Arabidopsis thaliana: one gene and its partner. The protein of the gene in region 1 interacts with the protein of each later gene in a pairwise test. Each region holds a gene or a part of one and is shown on either strand. Other genes may lie near its edges.

Evidence for each region. Proteins that work in one complex are often made in the same cells at the same time.
Region 2: the proteins of AT5G42420 (region 1) and TET6 interact in a protein complementation assay, tested with the Arabidopsis thaliana proteins (one large-scale study listed by BioGRID).

What each region holds. Positions count from the first base shown.
Region 1 is NC_003076.8:16,964,492-16,973,816, reverse strand, and holds AT5G42420 (Nucleotide-sugar transporter family protein), read right to left. Parts: upstream 5,163-9,325; 5' UTR 4,999-5,162; coding exon 4,860-4,998; intron 4,774-4,859; coding exon 4,589-4,773; intron 4,478-4,588; coding exon 4,277-4,477; intron 4,190-4,276; coding exon 4,028-4,189; intron 3,958-4,027; coding exon 3,592-3,957; 3' UTR 3,290-3,591; downstream 1-3,289. Other genes in the region: AT5G42440 (Protein kinase superfamily protein), read left to right, coding at 1-383; AT5G42430 (F-box and associated interaction domains-containing protein), read left to right, coding at 1,318-2,505; AT5G42410 (SAUR-like auxin-responsive protein family), read right to left, coding at 8,718-9,053. UniProt on the Arabidopsis thaliana protein: Nucleotide-sugar transporter that transports UDP-rhamnose or UDP-galactose and UMP in a strict counter-exchange mode.
Region 2 is NC_003074.8:3,851,625-3,858,327, forward strand, and holds TET6 (tetraspanin6), read right to left. Parts: upstream 2,243-6,703; 5' UTR 2,091-2,242; coding exon 1,599-2,090; intron 1,219-1,598; coding exon 902-1,218; intron 742-901; coding exon 702-741; 3' UTR 501-701; downstream 1-500. Other genes in the region: emb2738 (GTP-binding family protein), read left to right, coding at 44-212, 292-356; AT3G12100 (Cation efflux family protein), read right to left, coding at 3,117-3,218, 3,315-3,404, 3,493-3,643, 3,739-3,777, 3,908-3,977, 4,321-4,409, 4,541-4,617, 4,854-4,893 and 2 more; ACT11 (actin-11), read left to right, coding at 6,492-6,551, 6,664-6,703. UniProt on the Arabidopsis thaliana protein: May be involved in the regulation of cell differentiation.

The DNA of each region.
Region 1 (9,325 bases):
CGTCGAGGTCGCATGTGTCGACGCAAGTGGCGGGGACGATGGGGTACATGCCACCGGAGTATTGGGAAGGGAATACCGCGGCGACGGTTAAAGCTGATGTTTATAGTTTTGGTGTATTGATGTTGGAATTGGCGACGCGGAGACGGCCGAATTTAACGGTTGTTGTGGATGAGAAGGAAGTTGGGTTGGCTCAATGGGCTGTGATCATGGTGGAGCAAAATCGGTGTTATGAAATGTTGGATTTTGGAGGTGTTTGTGGTAGTGAGAAGGGAGTGGAAGAGTATTTTAGGATTGCTTGTCTTTGTATTAAAGAGTCGACTAGAGAAAGGCCTACTATGGTTCAAGTGGTGGAGTTATTGGAGGAGTTATGTCGATTTATGTAGTCATATTAATCCAATAGGTAAATGTAATTAGTCTTTTTTATCACACAAGTGAAGTTCGTTACATATTGTAATAATTGGGTAAAATATTCGGACCAAAAGAAGTTACAAAATAAGTTTCTATGTTCTGCTTATTTACGTTTTAGTTTTAGAGATTTATGTATTAGGAACTAGAGTGTTTTGTTTTTTGACTTTACGTCTATGTGCTAAACATCGGCTGAGATAATTAACTTTTAGGATCTTCTGTCAATCTTTAAAATTCTATTGATTTTTGAATGATTGCAAAGAAAACAAAACTTGAAGTGATTCTATCAATTTTAGGTTTCATTTAAAATCATTAGAATTGAGGATTTAGAAAAGGTAAAAAGGCATTTGGAACTGTTTAGTGTTTACCATGACAGATGAAGGAGCACACACACGTACTGTTGCAGTAAAGTGAATAAAAGAAGTTATTCTAAACATGAGAGATTCGTGAGCTTTATTTTATCGTGCCATACAAATATACAATCATACTTTAACCATTGTTCTCTGCTATGAGATAAGAGATGCTTCTTTCTTTCTTTCTGCAAGCATTTTATTTAATTTGGACTCCAAAAATAAAATTAAACACCTTGATTAGACTGTTTAAGAAGAATTCAGATTAATTATCAAGACTTGTTTTCAGAAAAGTATAAAATGAATGTTTTCAGGAAAAAAATATAAATGATTTTATTTTTTTTGGTAAAATATATAAATGAATAATGATAAATAAGGAAAGATACTACAATTAACATATATATACTCATACAATCATACGATGCTTCTTGGGCCTAGGTTAGCGAAAACCATGAATAAGATTGATTAATTAGGTCAAACTTTATCGTACGATACATTATTTAAGAGTCTCACCGATTTTGTGTTCATATCTCTCATCAGATAAGAAAATACAAATACGATCATGAATGGAGAAGAAAACTCAGATTCCATCCCTATCGATCTCATTCTTGAGATACTCTCGAGATTGCCTGCAAAGTCAATCACTAGGTTTCATTGCGTCTCAAAGCTATGGGGTTCCATGCTTTGCCGTCCATATTTCAACGAGTTGTTCTTGACCATATCGTCAGCTCGTCCACGTCTCTTATTTGCCTTTTCAAAACACGGTGAGTGGAGGTTTTTCTCGTCGCCTCAGCCTCAGAATCCATATGGGAAGTCATCTTTTGTAGCAACTGCGGATTTTCATACGAAGTTCTCTCAAAACCTAAACATTTGTAACTATACTTCTGGTTTGGTATATTTCTCTGCTATGTGGATCACAAAGGCAGATGTCATATGTAACCCTAGCACGGGACATTATGCGATGTTACCTAAATTGTTGTTGACGTATGGAGAGACGAGAAGCTTTTTTTTGTTTGATCCGGTTGGCAAGCAATTCAAGGTATTGCTCATGAATAAGATAAACAATAATGAAACAAAGGACATTCATATTTTGACATTGGGAACTAGAAAAGTGAGATGGAGGAAGATCCAACAATGCCCCTTGATCCATATTGTTTCGCATGAATGGATATGCATCAATGGGGCTTTGTATTACATAGCTTATAACATTGATGATTTCTTGGGGTATATAGTTTGCTTTGATGTCAGGTCCGAGAAATTCAAATGTCTAAATCTAAACCAAGACTGTTTTTCTGAACGATCTACTAAATTGATATACTATAAAGGTAAATTAGGTGTGGTTAATTTGAAGTATGCTCATGGCGGTGGATTTCCCCTTAAGTTATGTATGTGGGTTCTAGAGGATGTGGAGAAACAGGAATGGACAACATCTGTGTACACTTTGAGGGATGAGGATAGAGTCGTTAAGGTTTACTACGATCTTTTTATTGTTGGGATAACTGCTACAGGTGAAATTGTTTTGGCGAAGAAAAAGGTATGTAAGCCGTTTTATGTCTTCTACTTTAATCTCGAAAGGAACACTCTCCTAAGTGTTGAAATCCAAGGTTTTGGAGAATACCAAAGCTGTTGTAGTGTTCACGCCTTTGTAGACCATGTAGAGGATCTTAATGTTTACGCCTTTGTAGAACATATGAAGAAAACATATGAATATGATGCAACATCAATAAGCCCATCAGAACAGAAGCTTTAACCCACCTAGAGATGATCATCAAGTGAAGCTCGGTGCTCACCTGGAACAAGTGCTAGCAAATTCAATGCATTGGGTCTTTTTGATGATGGTTAATTTACTGATGCTTCCCTTGCAAGTTTTCTTCATAATATTGCAGTACATTTTTGTTTTATTCAAATCACAACCATGACTGAAGTTTTCTTCATAACATTTATTACATTCTAGCTATTTGGCCTGTGAGTATCACTTCTCATTTGGGAAAAATGTTATTTAATACCTGAACTTTCAAAAAATGGCCAAATTAACCGTGAACTCTTGAAATGGTCGTTTTATACCTCAACAAAAAGTTGACTTCTAATTTAACCTATAATTTATCGTTGACTTCTAATTTAACCTATAATTTGTCGTTGACCCGGCCAAATAGACTCACCGTTAACACTCCTTAACAGCGCTCCTAACAGCCGTTACAAAACATGGCCTAACAGCCGTTATTGTTGGTTTAAGGACAAAAACAGTTGTTAGTTACGCTGTTAGGAGAGCTGTTAAGAAGTGTTAATGGTGAGTCGATTTGGCCGGGTCAACGATAACTTATAGGTTAAATTAGAAGTCAACTTTTTGTTGAGGTATAAAACGGCCATTTCAAAAATTCACGGTTAATTTGGCCACTTTTTGAAAGTTCAGGTATTAAATAACATTTTTCCCCTTCTCATTTACAATTTTCACATTACTTGGGAGCATATGAATGTTTTTATCAGAAGTTCTTTTAAGTCTTCTCCAGTATTCTTGTTTTCACTATCCATATGAATGTTTTATCAAATGGAATATACTCTACATTTGATGTCATATTCTATAAGATAAATAAAGGAATATACTCTTTGAGTGCTACGTAAAACAAGAACATGTGGTCATTGAAGTTATTTCCATGGAATTGGGTAAAAAGATATAAATAACACAAAACATTTGTATAACCAAGGAAACTTTAGATCGAAGCCTAGACACTAATCTCCGAGGATCCGATCTCTTGGTTTAGATAACACAAAACATACAAAAATTATAACAGAACAAATTGTACCTGAAGACTATGTTTCTTTCTCTATCCATCTGTCTCTAATCTTTTGTGCGGCCAAGTTCAACATCTTTTGATTGTGTAGTTTCTACACCTTCCTTCAAAAGTTCAAACTCTTCCTCTGTTAAGCTATGTTTCACACTGTTTAAAGCCTTTGCTGCAATAATCGACTGTTTCTCCAATTCCATTGCCCAACTATAGATTACCATCCCAACAATCGCAACAATCATCCCCGCTACGTTTTTGAAAGTCATTGCAGAATCAAATAGGAGCCATCCAAGCGTGAGGATACAGACGGTTTTCATGTGACCAATAACTTGGAACGATACTGCTGAAAACCGCCCGATGCAAAGGTACTGGCTTATGTTGCAGAACACAGCTAGACCACATGAGAGAAGAATGAATAGCTGCAAATTGTAGAACATTAGCCAATGATAACATAACAATACTAGCAGAGCCATGAAGAGAGATACTTACAAAGCAACCGGAAGACATATTATACTTCATAATGAACTTCCCACTAAGAAGATAATCAACTAAAGGACCGACAACAAGAAGCGAAAAAGCTTGAATCGGCGCTGTTTTACTCAACAACTCAAAGGACCCAATTGAATATTTCTTCTGTAGAGAACCTATTAACTAAGCAACACAGAAGGAAAAAACACCAATTGATCAGATTTGAATTCCACAAGCTTCAAAACCAAATCACCAAACAAAAAGACTTACAATTTGCTGCAAGGATGACGAGAAAATCGCAACACAAGCACAGATAAAACCTTTGGCATTAACTTTAACATCAGTCACAGTACAAATACCAACACCAACAACAACAACCACAACAGATATTTTCACTTCTCTTGAGTATCTCTTGCTATGTAGAATCCATTCCATTACACATACCACAGGAATCATGCTCAGCTTCGAGATCTAATCAACACAAAAAAATGTGAATCCACTAAACCAAAATCAAAGTCTATATATGCTCAAATCAAAGCAATTTGATTCTATATGCTCAAGATCGAGATCGAGATGAATTACTTGGTAGAAGCCAACGGAATTGAGCATGAGACTGAAGTTCATAGCAGCAATAGAGACATTAGCGACAATGGAGAACCAAATAAGCTCCCACATAGGTACATGCTTCGAAGCAGAGAATCCGGTAGCGTTTGATACCATACCGACCAATGCGGTTAAAGCGAAGTGGAAACCGGTGAGAGTTGTAGCTGAGAAAACAGAGATCGGAAAAATCATCAGATCTCAAAAGCGAAATTGATTAAAAAGAGTGAGAGATCGGAGGAAGAAGACGAACCGAAACTAAATGCGAATCCAGAAGAGGACATAAGTTGTTTATTCGCCATGATGATTCCAACGGAGCTTATCACATTCATTGCCCAAGCTCCCATATCGGAGACTGCTGAAGGAGATTTTCTCTCATTCTCCGCCGCCATCTCTGGTCAACTGTCACCACCACCACCGTAGAAGGAGATTTCCGGTGATGCGATCTCGGAGATAGAGAGATAGAGAGAGAAAGAGAGATTCACGCTTTGTTGGAGGCTCACCTTCTGAGAGATTCTCTTTTCTCTCTTTCACGTTGAGAAAAATATCTGACAAATCTCAAATCTGAAATAAATACTTTTAAAAAGGAAGTTGTGTAAGTAGATTTAGTTTTTACTTTACCCGCATCAAAATTCATCATTACAATTACATTAAGAAAATCATTGATTATGTTTTTTTTTTGGACAAGAAAATAATTGATTATGTAGTGACAAAAGTTGTAGATGAGTATTATGACAAAATTGATAATCGAATTTTTTTAGTTGTTGCAAATTTTGATTTTAACGATTTTTTGTAATGAGATTTGAGATTTTCTGTAAATTAAATCTTTAAAAAATATTTCGTGATTTGAAGATTTTCAATTTATTTATTTATGACTAAAGAAACTCTCAATTAGTGGATTAGACAAATAAATCTTGAATTTTGCATTGAATTGACTAAATTATTCACAAACCTTAATCAAAATTATCTGTTGATTTTTTTTATTAACTCTATACAATTTAATTTACAACAAATGTAAATGTCCAAAAATGATATCGTATTTGACACATATATATGGATAAAATAATGTAAACATATTCTAAAATAAATATCATAAGATTGTGTTATGTAAATAATATAATTACAAATATTTGTTTATTTGCATAATTTCCAAATATTTTTAATATTCTTTGAACTTTTTGTGTCACATAATAAATTCTATAACTATGAAACAAACCAACTGTGTGAGAGTACTTTTTAGCTAATATTTTGAATAAAACTATTATTTTCATAAAAACCAATACATATTTATCGAACTGATAATATTATTTTCCCTCTCTTTTTTGTATATGAATATTTTTAAATTTTTCACCATGCATCATTTCTAAGGAAAGTAGGAATAATTAATATGTTTATAATTTACTATATATAAAAAACAACACAAATAAAAGAAAATGACACAAATATATAGTAGTGCTTGTTGACCAGTAACTTAGGCAGATTATGAGGCGAAGGGAACCTCTTTTCATGCTGCCGTTATTTTTGCATTACGCAAAGTCAAAGTCAAAGTCTGTTGGTAACTTTTTGTTTAAGCAGCCAATCCATAAAAGTAAGTCATAACTTTGCATTTTCTTCATGAACTAGTGGAGATCACATTAAAATATTTCGTTTTTTCATGTAAGAAGCATGAATATTTACGATAATGTAACTGATAAATAAAAAGATGACTGGAGAAGTTTTTTTAAAATAATAATAATTAAAGAACATAAATCGATAATACAAAAACAAAACGGAAAGATGAAAAGGAATTATCGTAGAGGTGAGACATTATCAATTTTCTTAATTCCTTAGATATCCAAAAATACAACTATAATATTTTTTCAGACTTATATAAGAATAACTATAGAAGCTTACAACCAAATGAGTTATTAGATCAAATGGTTTCATCAATTCAATGAGTTGAGTTGTAAACTTATAATGAGTTAACATATTAAATATTAATGAGTCTAAGCAGAACTTCTATACTGATTAAATATTATTAATCTTTTCCAAAAAAATATAAAAATATATATACATATATAAACCACACTTCAAAAGAAAATTTAGATTTTCTCGAGAGTTAGTTTTGTAAGTTTTTTGGTGAACATAAGAAAACATTATCTTCGACTTTTGTTGTGAGTACTCTAAGAGGCCTTGTGTTTTAGAAAGAGGAAGTAAGAACTTGGGCATGTAATCTTTTGATTAATTATTTGTCTCTTATTATTATTTTTAGATTGTAACCTGCTAAGTTTCATATGATATGTTTGATTTAGATGCTGTTAAAGAAGTTAAAGAAGGCAGGTCAACGTGAGATATGTATTTGGAAAACCTAAATATAATAGAGATGAAAAATCATTCCAATTTGAATGTTTTCAATATTTGAAAGAGAATAGACATCGTTTTGGTACGCAGACATACATGGTGATGGACGTTCTTAGCATTCATGTTACAAGTGTGGCATCTGAATCTTCTATTAGCATTAGGTCTTCTGTTATAAACAAATATTGAAGCCATCTATATTTATACATTTAATCAATAATTATTTAAGAATAATCATTTTAGCCGCTCGAATACGACGACGAACTTCTCACCAAAAAACCACCCAGCTAAAAGTTGTTGGAGCCTCTTTGTTAAAACAAGTTCCAACATGAATTAGAATGACTCGAGACACTTGATAACTCTTAAGGGTTTGACAGATTTAACTAGACTCAACAAACCTCAACATAATGGCTTTTGAGAGTTTAAACAAAAAATAATTGTATATGATCTTGTACCATTTTCCAGCTTTGAACCACTTAGTGTTATATGCCAGGTTTATTAATTGACCAAAATGTGAACATGATGTCTTGATCCACGCAAACTTTTATTTAACCTTGGAAATGTTTGGTTGATCATTAGTGCTATTAATGAATATACATTGTTCTTCTTCATTTTCTTAAAAACGACTCCATTTTAACACTCACAAAGTAATTTGCCTTTAGTCTTTGTTTTTAATAATATCTCAAAGGCTCAAAACTCATAAAGCATACCTTATGTTAAGAAGATAGTCAAAACTTTGAAATGTACATGTGAAATAGGTTTATGACACGTTCTCAATCCGTGCCCTACAAACTGCCAATCGATTATCATCACCATGAAATAATTTTAATGAACGTTTCAAGCATCATCTAGAGCCTTCAAGCATCATCATTGTTCAAGAAGAAAACAAATGTCGTTCGAGGCCAAACATGTGTTTAATTTTATGATATAGTTAAAGAAAAAAATAGAACCGAATGATCTTAGTTATAGTTTGGTTTGGATTTACATATATACTGGTGTATTTCTGCTTACATCAACCATTTGATTCCTAATATGTAAGATATTAGATACATATGCATATATTGTAAGTCATGATATCGAAATGATCATCTAGCCGATTGTCATGCTTAAGATAGCAACTCGTGATATCAACAAAGCAAAGAAGTCCTTGAATGTAGAAGATAGCATAACCGGTTTAGTTCGATTTACAATTGAACACACTAATTTGGGGTAGACTTATTATTACTAATTAACCGGGCATATTCATCTTTGAAGGAGATTAATTAACTTGTTATTTTCATAAACATTTTTTTATGTGCTTTGTCCAGCCTTTTCTTCAAGCTTAAATGAGATTAACTTGTTCTAAACAGCGTTTTAAAGAAAAATGAAAAGACAGAAGCATCACCAAAATCTGCCAGGATATTCTCTACTAAACAACAATACTACATTGTTATAAGTTCAAGCATGTGAAACGAGATTCCAATTCAGCCGAGAACCATTCACCCATTCTCAATTTGATTCAAGTTATATTGTAATTTCAGATTTGGTTATAAATTGATATATTATTGCATCATGACTATGTAATTTCACATTTAAATTAATATAAGCTTTGTCAAAAAAAACGATGGATATATGATTTGATAAAGTCATTACGAATACTGTATTCGGAATACAAATGTCCATTGGCATTCGACTATGTAAATAAATAAATAAGTAAAGGAAACGAACTTCGTCCATTTTTTTCTTCCTTTTTAAATTAAAGAATGATGAAAAATAAGTGAGATAATAATAAAATCTACAATAATTTTGTGGAATTATTGTGAAAGCAAACGGAATTGTTATGATGATTAGTTGTTTTGTGTAGATTAACCAGTTTGATGAAGACATCAATCTCGCAAGCAATCCTCAAGGCTCCTTCGTACGAGTGTCCGAATTCTTCCTCAGACAACCTCAATAGATCTTCCAACATTGGGTGGTTTAGCAAATTAGCTTCAACTTCTAGCTTGCATTGACTCTCTTTATCTTTACCTACGTAAACCCGAACTCTTCCTTCTTCTGGTAATGCCGATGTTCTCGAAGATGAAATGTTCTTCGCTCCGCACCATAGTAGCTTCTTCACCAAGGTTCTCATTCTCCTTGTAATTTGTTTGAATTAATAAAATGCTGATCTCAAGACTTTTGTTTCTTCTCTTAAAATTTGATAATGTGTGTTTTGTGTTTGTAAGATAACATTGTGAGATATACATATTTATATGTATAAACAAGTGTCATTGGGTTTACGTAGTGGACAAGAAAAAAAGGAGAAAGGTCGAAGGGTTCTATGAAGAAGTTGCGGAGAATCATATCGTTTGTCGCACCGCGTTTAATTTACTTGGCTTGCAGCTTAATAGGCTTAACCAAACA
Region 2 (6,703 bases), on another chromosome or scaffold:
TTCGGGTTTGTTTGTCTGTATATAAAATGGTTGTATAATGCAGGCAGCAATAAGGCCACCGACGTTTGTTTTCTTTGTAAACGACGCAAAGCTGTTTTCGGATACGTACAGAAGGTATATGGAGAAACAGCTACGCACTGATGCAGGCTTTGCTGGGACTCCAATTCGGCTTCTTTGGCGTAGCCGTAAAAGATCTGACAAAAATGGAGGAGGTACGAGTTTTTTGCATGAAGTTGTAATTCTTTTTGAAAATAGTGACAGTATCTGTATAACTTTTGGAAAATTCTGCAGGTGGAGGAACAATGAGAATGGCAGGCCTTACACGTCAGAGAAATCTTGCAACCAAAAGAACATAATAACCGACGATGTAATTTTGTTGTATTGAAAAATAATTACTATCAATATATATATACAATTCAATCCTAGCTAGTCTCCATTGCAACCTACTCTGTTTGTTTTTCGTTTTGAGCTTTGAAGTGAAATTGCAGGAATAGTAAACTCTAATAAGTCTTCCATAGAGTATATTTCACAAGTGAGACGAAAAATATATGCATATACTCATGCACTCGTAGCAAATCTTACTAATCTCTTGATGATTTATAGGAACAGGACTACATCAACATTTTTAAACTATCTTTGTGTTTTCTTAATCTAAGTTTGCTAAAAAGAAAATGATTAAGAACAAAAAAACGATGCGGCTTTTAGTAAAGCTGCTCTTTCTTTTCGTGCCACCATCTCCACCTGTAATAAGAACATGCTTTTGTCAAAAAATAAAAAAATCCAAGATCTCAATTCGGATCAAGTATAATTTTGAAACAAAACTTTCATTTTACGATCATGCATTTGGTAAGTGATATATATATATATATATAGAGAGAGAGAGAGAGAGAGATAAGGTTACCAGTAATAGTCCCAACGAGGACGGACTCTGGTCATGCGGTTATCATCAGATGGATGGTAAGGATGAGCTGCGTGGCGAGTGTTGTGGAAGGCGCAGCAACCAGCGGCGTAGACCGCGATGAGGAGGACGAGGACGAGAATGTTGACAACCGATAACTTTCTCCAGTCGAGACGGATCTCTTCGAGAACACCAGCCTTGCAAGCATCGCACTCGTAGCATAACATCTCCACTCCATTGTTCCATCTGAAGCAATCTCCTCCTCCGTCCACTACTCCAGCTTCGTACGTACACGCCGTCGGTGGCTTACAACATCCCGACTGCATTGTCTTTTATTAGTCACGTCTTAACTCTTAACAAGCCTTTTCTTCCCCAATAATACTATATTTTTGTCTAAATGCAAACGCCAAACACAAACTAAGTAAAAAGAGAAAACTATATGTTTACAGCAAAAAACTGGTAAGGTCACACTATCATTTTGTTTGCAAGTAAGAATACAAATACGATTCAACAAAACACACACGGAAAGAAAAAATTCGTTTGCCTTTTTCATTTCTAGTCACATGCTTGCTTTACACGCGATTAGAAACGAAGAAACAAATAAAATCAAAGGCTTAAATTATCATATGATAAGATATATATTAGATTACTATAGCAATTTGTTAAGCAAGCATGAATCATGTCATAAAGTAGATTGTACCTGAACAGAAGTCATGTCTCTTTGGAAATAATCAAGTGTAGTCCAAGACTCAATCTTAGTACAAGTCTTGGAACTCAAGATACAGCTTCTAATGGAGTTCCAATACTCAGGATCCCTAACTCTCTCTCTCAACCATGGATGATAGTCTCCAAGCCTATACTCTTTATAAATCCTCCCTGGCACTTCCACTCCACCTCCTTGGCTCGTCACCACCAGACCAAATAGCGTTAGACCCATTAGGGTAGCGATGAGGAAGATCATGACCACTAAGTACACCCAAAGAGCCCATGCCACGTTGAAGCAGGCTCCTATGAATCCCGCAAGGGAAACTATGAGTATGATGAATCCTATAACAAGTAGCGGCGTCTGGAGGAAGTTTTCACATGTCGTGCTGCTTCTTGCCTTGTATAAAGCGGTTCCGATGATTGGAATCGAGGCTAGTAAGGTGAGAAGGTTTAAGACCCCAATAACTGTGTTGCTGAATCTGTACATAGTAGTAATGTTATCAAGAAGAAATCAGAGACTTAACACTGCCTTCTTTCTTTTGTAAGCAGATTCTCTTCTTGCAATGTGAATTTCATCAGCTTTATCTTACAATCTTCTTTTTCTAGATATAATATTGGTTAACTCTACTTTTGGCTTTTGATTCTCTCTTATCAATTGGGAATTTTTTAAGGGGAAAGGTTAAGAGTTAATGGTTTGATGATTCATGATCATATTCTTTTGGTCCTCTCTCTCTTGAGTTGAATCAATTAAACAATAACATTAAAACCGTATAATTTTCAAATAAAAGTGTCTTTTTGAACAATTGTTTCTTGTTTATTATTCTATATTATACGTTTTTGTCGTTGGAGTTGGTACAGAGCAGACCACAACCAAGAGAAATCAAGTAGTGCCTTCATTAAAATATGTTCTTAAGACATTACACCATAAAGAATACAACTTTTTCTAGCTTTTAGTCCAAAAACTGCAATCATGGTTTATATAATGGATGATCACAAGTGGAATAAAATAAATGTGCTATGTTCAATGAAGCATAGGAGTAAGCAAAGAATAATATATAGACATGGACGGGAGATGATTTCGTAATCGATGAATTTTCTTTCTAAGATGCTTTTAGTGGCCCATTCCTCGGAATATTAGGTTTTTAAGATATAGCTTGATGTGATCTCCGATTCCCCCACTTCCTTTTTTATCGTATAAATAAACGAGAAGGAATGCTAAAATCTTGTCTCAGCTCATATTGAATTTTTGTGTGTTTACTTTCACATTTAGCAAATGATATATGTTTTAATTCGCCAATCATTATGAGCCAAAATATCCACAAGCTTGAAGATACAAAGGTTTGTGGTCTTTGTGTGGTTGAAAATTCACATAAATGAAAAACAAACAAAACAATATCACAAAGTCACAACTTGAAAATTCACAATATTTATATTCCTAAAGAACCATGATCTCTAGTATACATCCAAAAATCTTCAAATCAGCATTTAAAAACAAAGAAGAGGCAGATGCAGCTTAGGTGTAATCAGTTTGCAGGGTCAAGTCTTGTACACCCAAATCATGGTATACATCATATACATATTGCAGTAATGGTCTTTCATCTATTCCGCTCTTCACCTAACGCCGATAAACAAAATAACAAACCCAGTCATTTCCATTTCTAGTGTGAGCTCATGTTTTAACCGATATAAAAAAAAGGAGAAAAGTGAGTACCTGGAGTCTGAGTGAGCCAACAGTGTGACCAGGCACAACCTCCCAGAAACGTGCCTGTAAAACCTCCGTTACATCTTCTCGAGAAGTAATCTGTACAGAGAGAGAGAGCTGAAGAGAAGCCTGGTTTGATCAACAATGGGAAATATGTACACATTCGAGGAACGATTTATGAGCGAACCTGTCGCAAGCATTTGCTTAAAGCAGAAGAAGGAATGTTTGGGGGTGCCATCTGAAGCAAGACACCACCAGTGGCTTTGAAGAGTGGCATAACAAGCATAAACACTGTGACCGATACCAATCCTAAACATAGGACCTCTGCATTTTCAACCCTGAAAAAGCCAAGGCATAAGGAGCAAAAGGAAAATGTAGTCAAGCAAGAAGACACTTTTATTCATTTAGCTCCTTCAAAGAAAGCGAGTATTACCCGAGCGAGAGGAGCCAAGATGCCAGTATCAAACCTGCACTGAAAAGACAGCAGCAAAGAAAACTTCATGTTGACTGTATATAAGTTTGATGCAAAAGGAAGCATTTTCTTTTCTATATAGCTTTCTCCGATTCTGCTTGAAATTTATAAAGGCAGAGAGGATTAACACCTGCGGATGGAATCTGATATGACGTGCAAGCAAACGGAGTGATAATTCATATCTTCTGCTTTTCTGTAGGCTGCAGCATATTGCATATTATGAATATAAGAAAAAAATTCAAGATAACATGTGGTTTTTAGATATGTAAAGAAGGGACAGATAATTTCAAGAAGCAACGAATAGTCGTTTGACAGATCAGTTACAATTATGCTGACTCTCTCTTTCAACTAATCTTCGTACTGATTCTATCTTAACCAAACACCCTTACTTCTTTGGCTTTAAAGCGAAAACTGACAAGGGTGGCCAATTTCTACAAATGAATACCAAAGCCACCAACAAAGGCTATATCAAAATATAAAGCAGCGTATGAGCATCAATTCATACAAGTCTAAACAGAACTTAAAATGCAGAGAAAAACATACCAATATTGACACGAGCATAATTCCGGAAAAACCAAACACCTAGTAGGTTCACCAGCAGATTTGTTACCGCTGATACAATCAAATAATGCCTACATAAAGGAAATCTCAGTAAATCACACTACTGAAAGGAACAAGAGGGAACAAGTACTGTAAACTTAGTAAGTGCTAGAGATATATATAGAAACTCCTAGGCATGTCATTTGTGAAAATATCAACTTACTTATGCTCTGATTCATCTTGTATAAATGCATGAAGAGCTTCCACAGCTAAGGAGAATGACATGAACATAAGGAACAGCTGTCTACACATATGTCAAATATTAAACAAATCAAAGTATTAACCAAAAAGATAAACTACAGAGACAATGAAAGGCAAAACGAAAAGATAGATTGTATGGAAGTCCAAATCTTTTTAACGAGCTGTAAAATACTCTATTCTATCAGCAACAGTAAAGGAAAGAGTTTTAACACTGAGTCAAGCCATCTACACTAAAGCTGGAAATGACATCCAAAACACGTTAAGAACATACTTACAGCATTAGTGAAAGCAGATAAAACTTCAAGTCTTTTGTACCTGGGAACCCAAAAAAAAGAGAAGACAAGGATGCCTAAATTACAACCACTTGAGCATAATCACATTACAGTCTCGGGAGAAAAATAGATCATAAAATGGATTAACCAACTGAGCCAATCAAATTACTTGTAACTCACCCGTATGAGTAAGCATGATCAGGCTTCTTCCTTGAAGTTGCCATTGCAAATAAAGAAAATGTCAAGAGACCACAACCAAATGTCAAATGGAATGCATCAGAGACCAAACCTGTAAGAGTCCACAAAACAATTCAAAGAAAGAATATCAACAATTCAGAGATTCAATCCTAAAACAAAAAGAGAACTGAAACCAAATCGTACCTACACGACCAGTGAAGATACCAATAGAGAGCTCTGTTGTAGAATACAACACATTAAGCGCAATTAGCAGAAACAGTCTCTTCATCTGCCGATTTCCACTTGTCACTACTCCAAAAACCTCCCAAACCATTTCCAAAACAGACACTTTTGCCATGTCTACATCTTTCCCTTCCCCGAAAAACACATCACTTCCATCAACGGAGTAAATATCCGGCGGCATATCGATGCTCGAGACCGTCCTATCGAGAAAAGGCTTAGCCGCTTCCGTGACCGCCGGCGTTCGTGGACCGTGAGATTGCTGAAACGAGCGAGAATAAGCAAGCCTCCGATCATTAGCAGCATATCCGACATCGCTGCTCCGATCATCAGGGAGCTCGTTATCGCCTCGAGGATTAAAGGAAATGGATCTCTCCATTTTCTTCTTTGATCTTAAAGTTCCAACTTCGGCAAATACTAAAATCAACAGTCAGTCGTACAAAGAAACTCTGCTTATACAGTAAAGTCAATGGGCCACTGTTCTAAGCCCATATATAATTTTAGAAGCCCATAGAATACAAAAGAGTCAAGAAGCATTGACCGCACAAGAAAAAAACAATTGTTAAAAAGGGTTGGTTAGTGTGTATGTATATATGAAATGCAACAAACATTATACAGCCCATTAAATATGGTTGTTATAGGTAGATGTCCCCATTAAGGAACTTTATCCAGCCCATTAAATTACTTTACAGAGTAAAAGAGAGAGAGAAGATTTACAGTTACGTTACCAAATTTTCGAAATGATTTAATTAGTAATAAATAAATAATTAAATGTCAGTTACTCTCTTTAGAAAGCTAAATAAGACAGCTGTTTCCACCAACAACGTGACTGGTCGTGGGGTCCTCCTTCGTTCAAAGTGATATTCAGAAATCAACGGCTGAGATCTTCTCCATCAATATTTATTACGGGCCTATTCCTTCCTTTTTTAAACTTCAATTCTCCGGCTCACATTCTCTTCTTCATTCGCTCCGTTTCTCTCTCAAAAACTACACACCCGTACCACACCACCACCCTCCTCGTTTCCTCAGAGATCCCCTCTCTAACTTCTAAGGTAATCACATTTCCATAACGTTCCATCGTCATTGATTCTTCATTAGTATGCGTTTATGAAGCTTTTTCAATTTAATTCTCTTTGGTAGATCTTAAGATTCCTCTGTTTCTTGCAAAATAAAGGGTTCAATTATGCTAATATTTTTTATATCAATTTTGACAGGATATAGAAAATGGCAGATGGTGAAGACATTCAGCCTCTCGTCTGTGACAATGGAACCGGAATGGTTAAGGTACATCTTTACATGACCTTTGTGGATATAAATCTGATAACTTTTTCTTTTATTATTTTTGGATACAATGCTGTTTTGTCTGGTTCATTCATATGTGTTTCCAATTCCTTAGGCTGGATTTGCTGGAGATGATGCACCAAGAGCTGTATTCC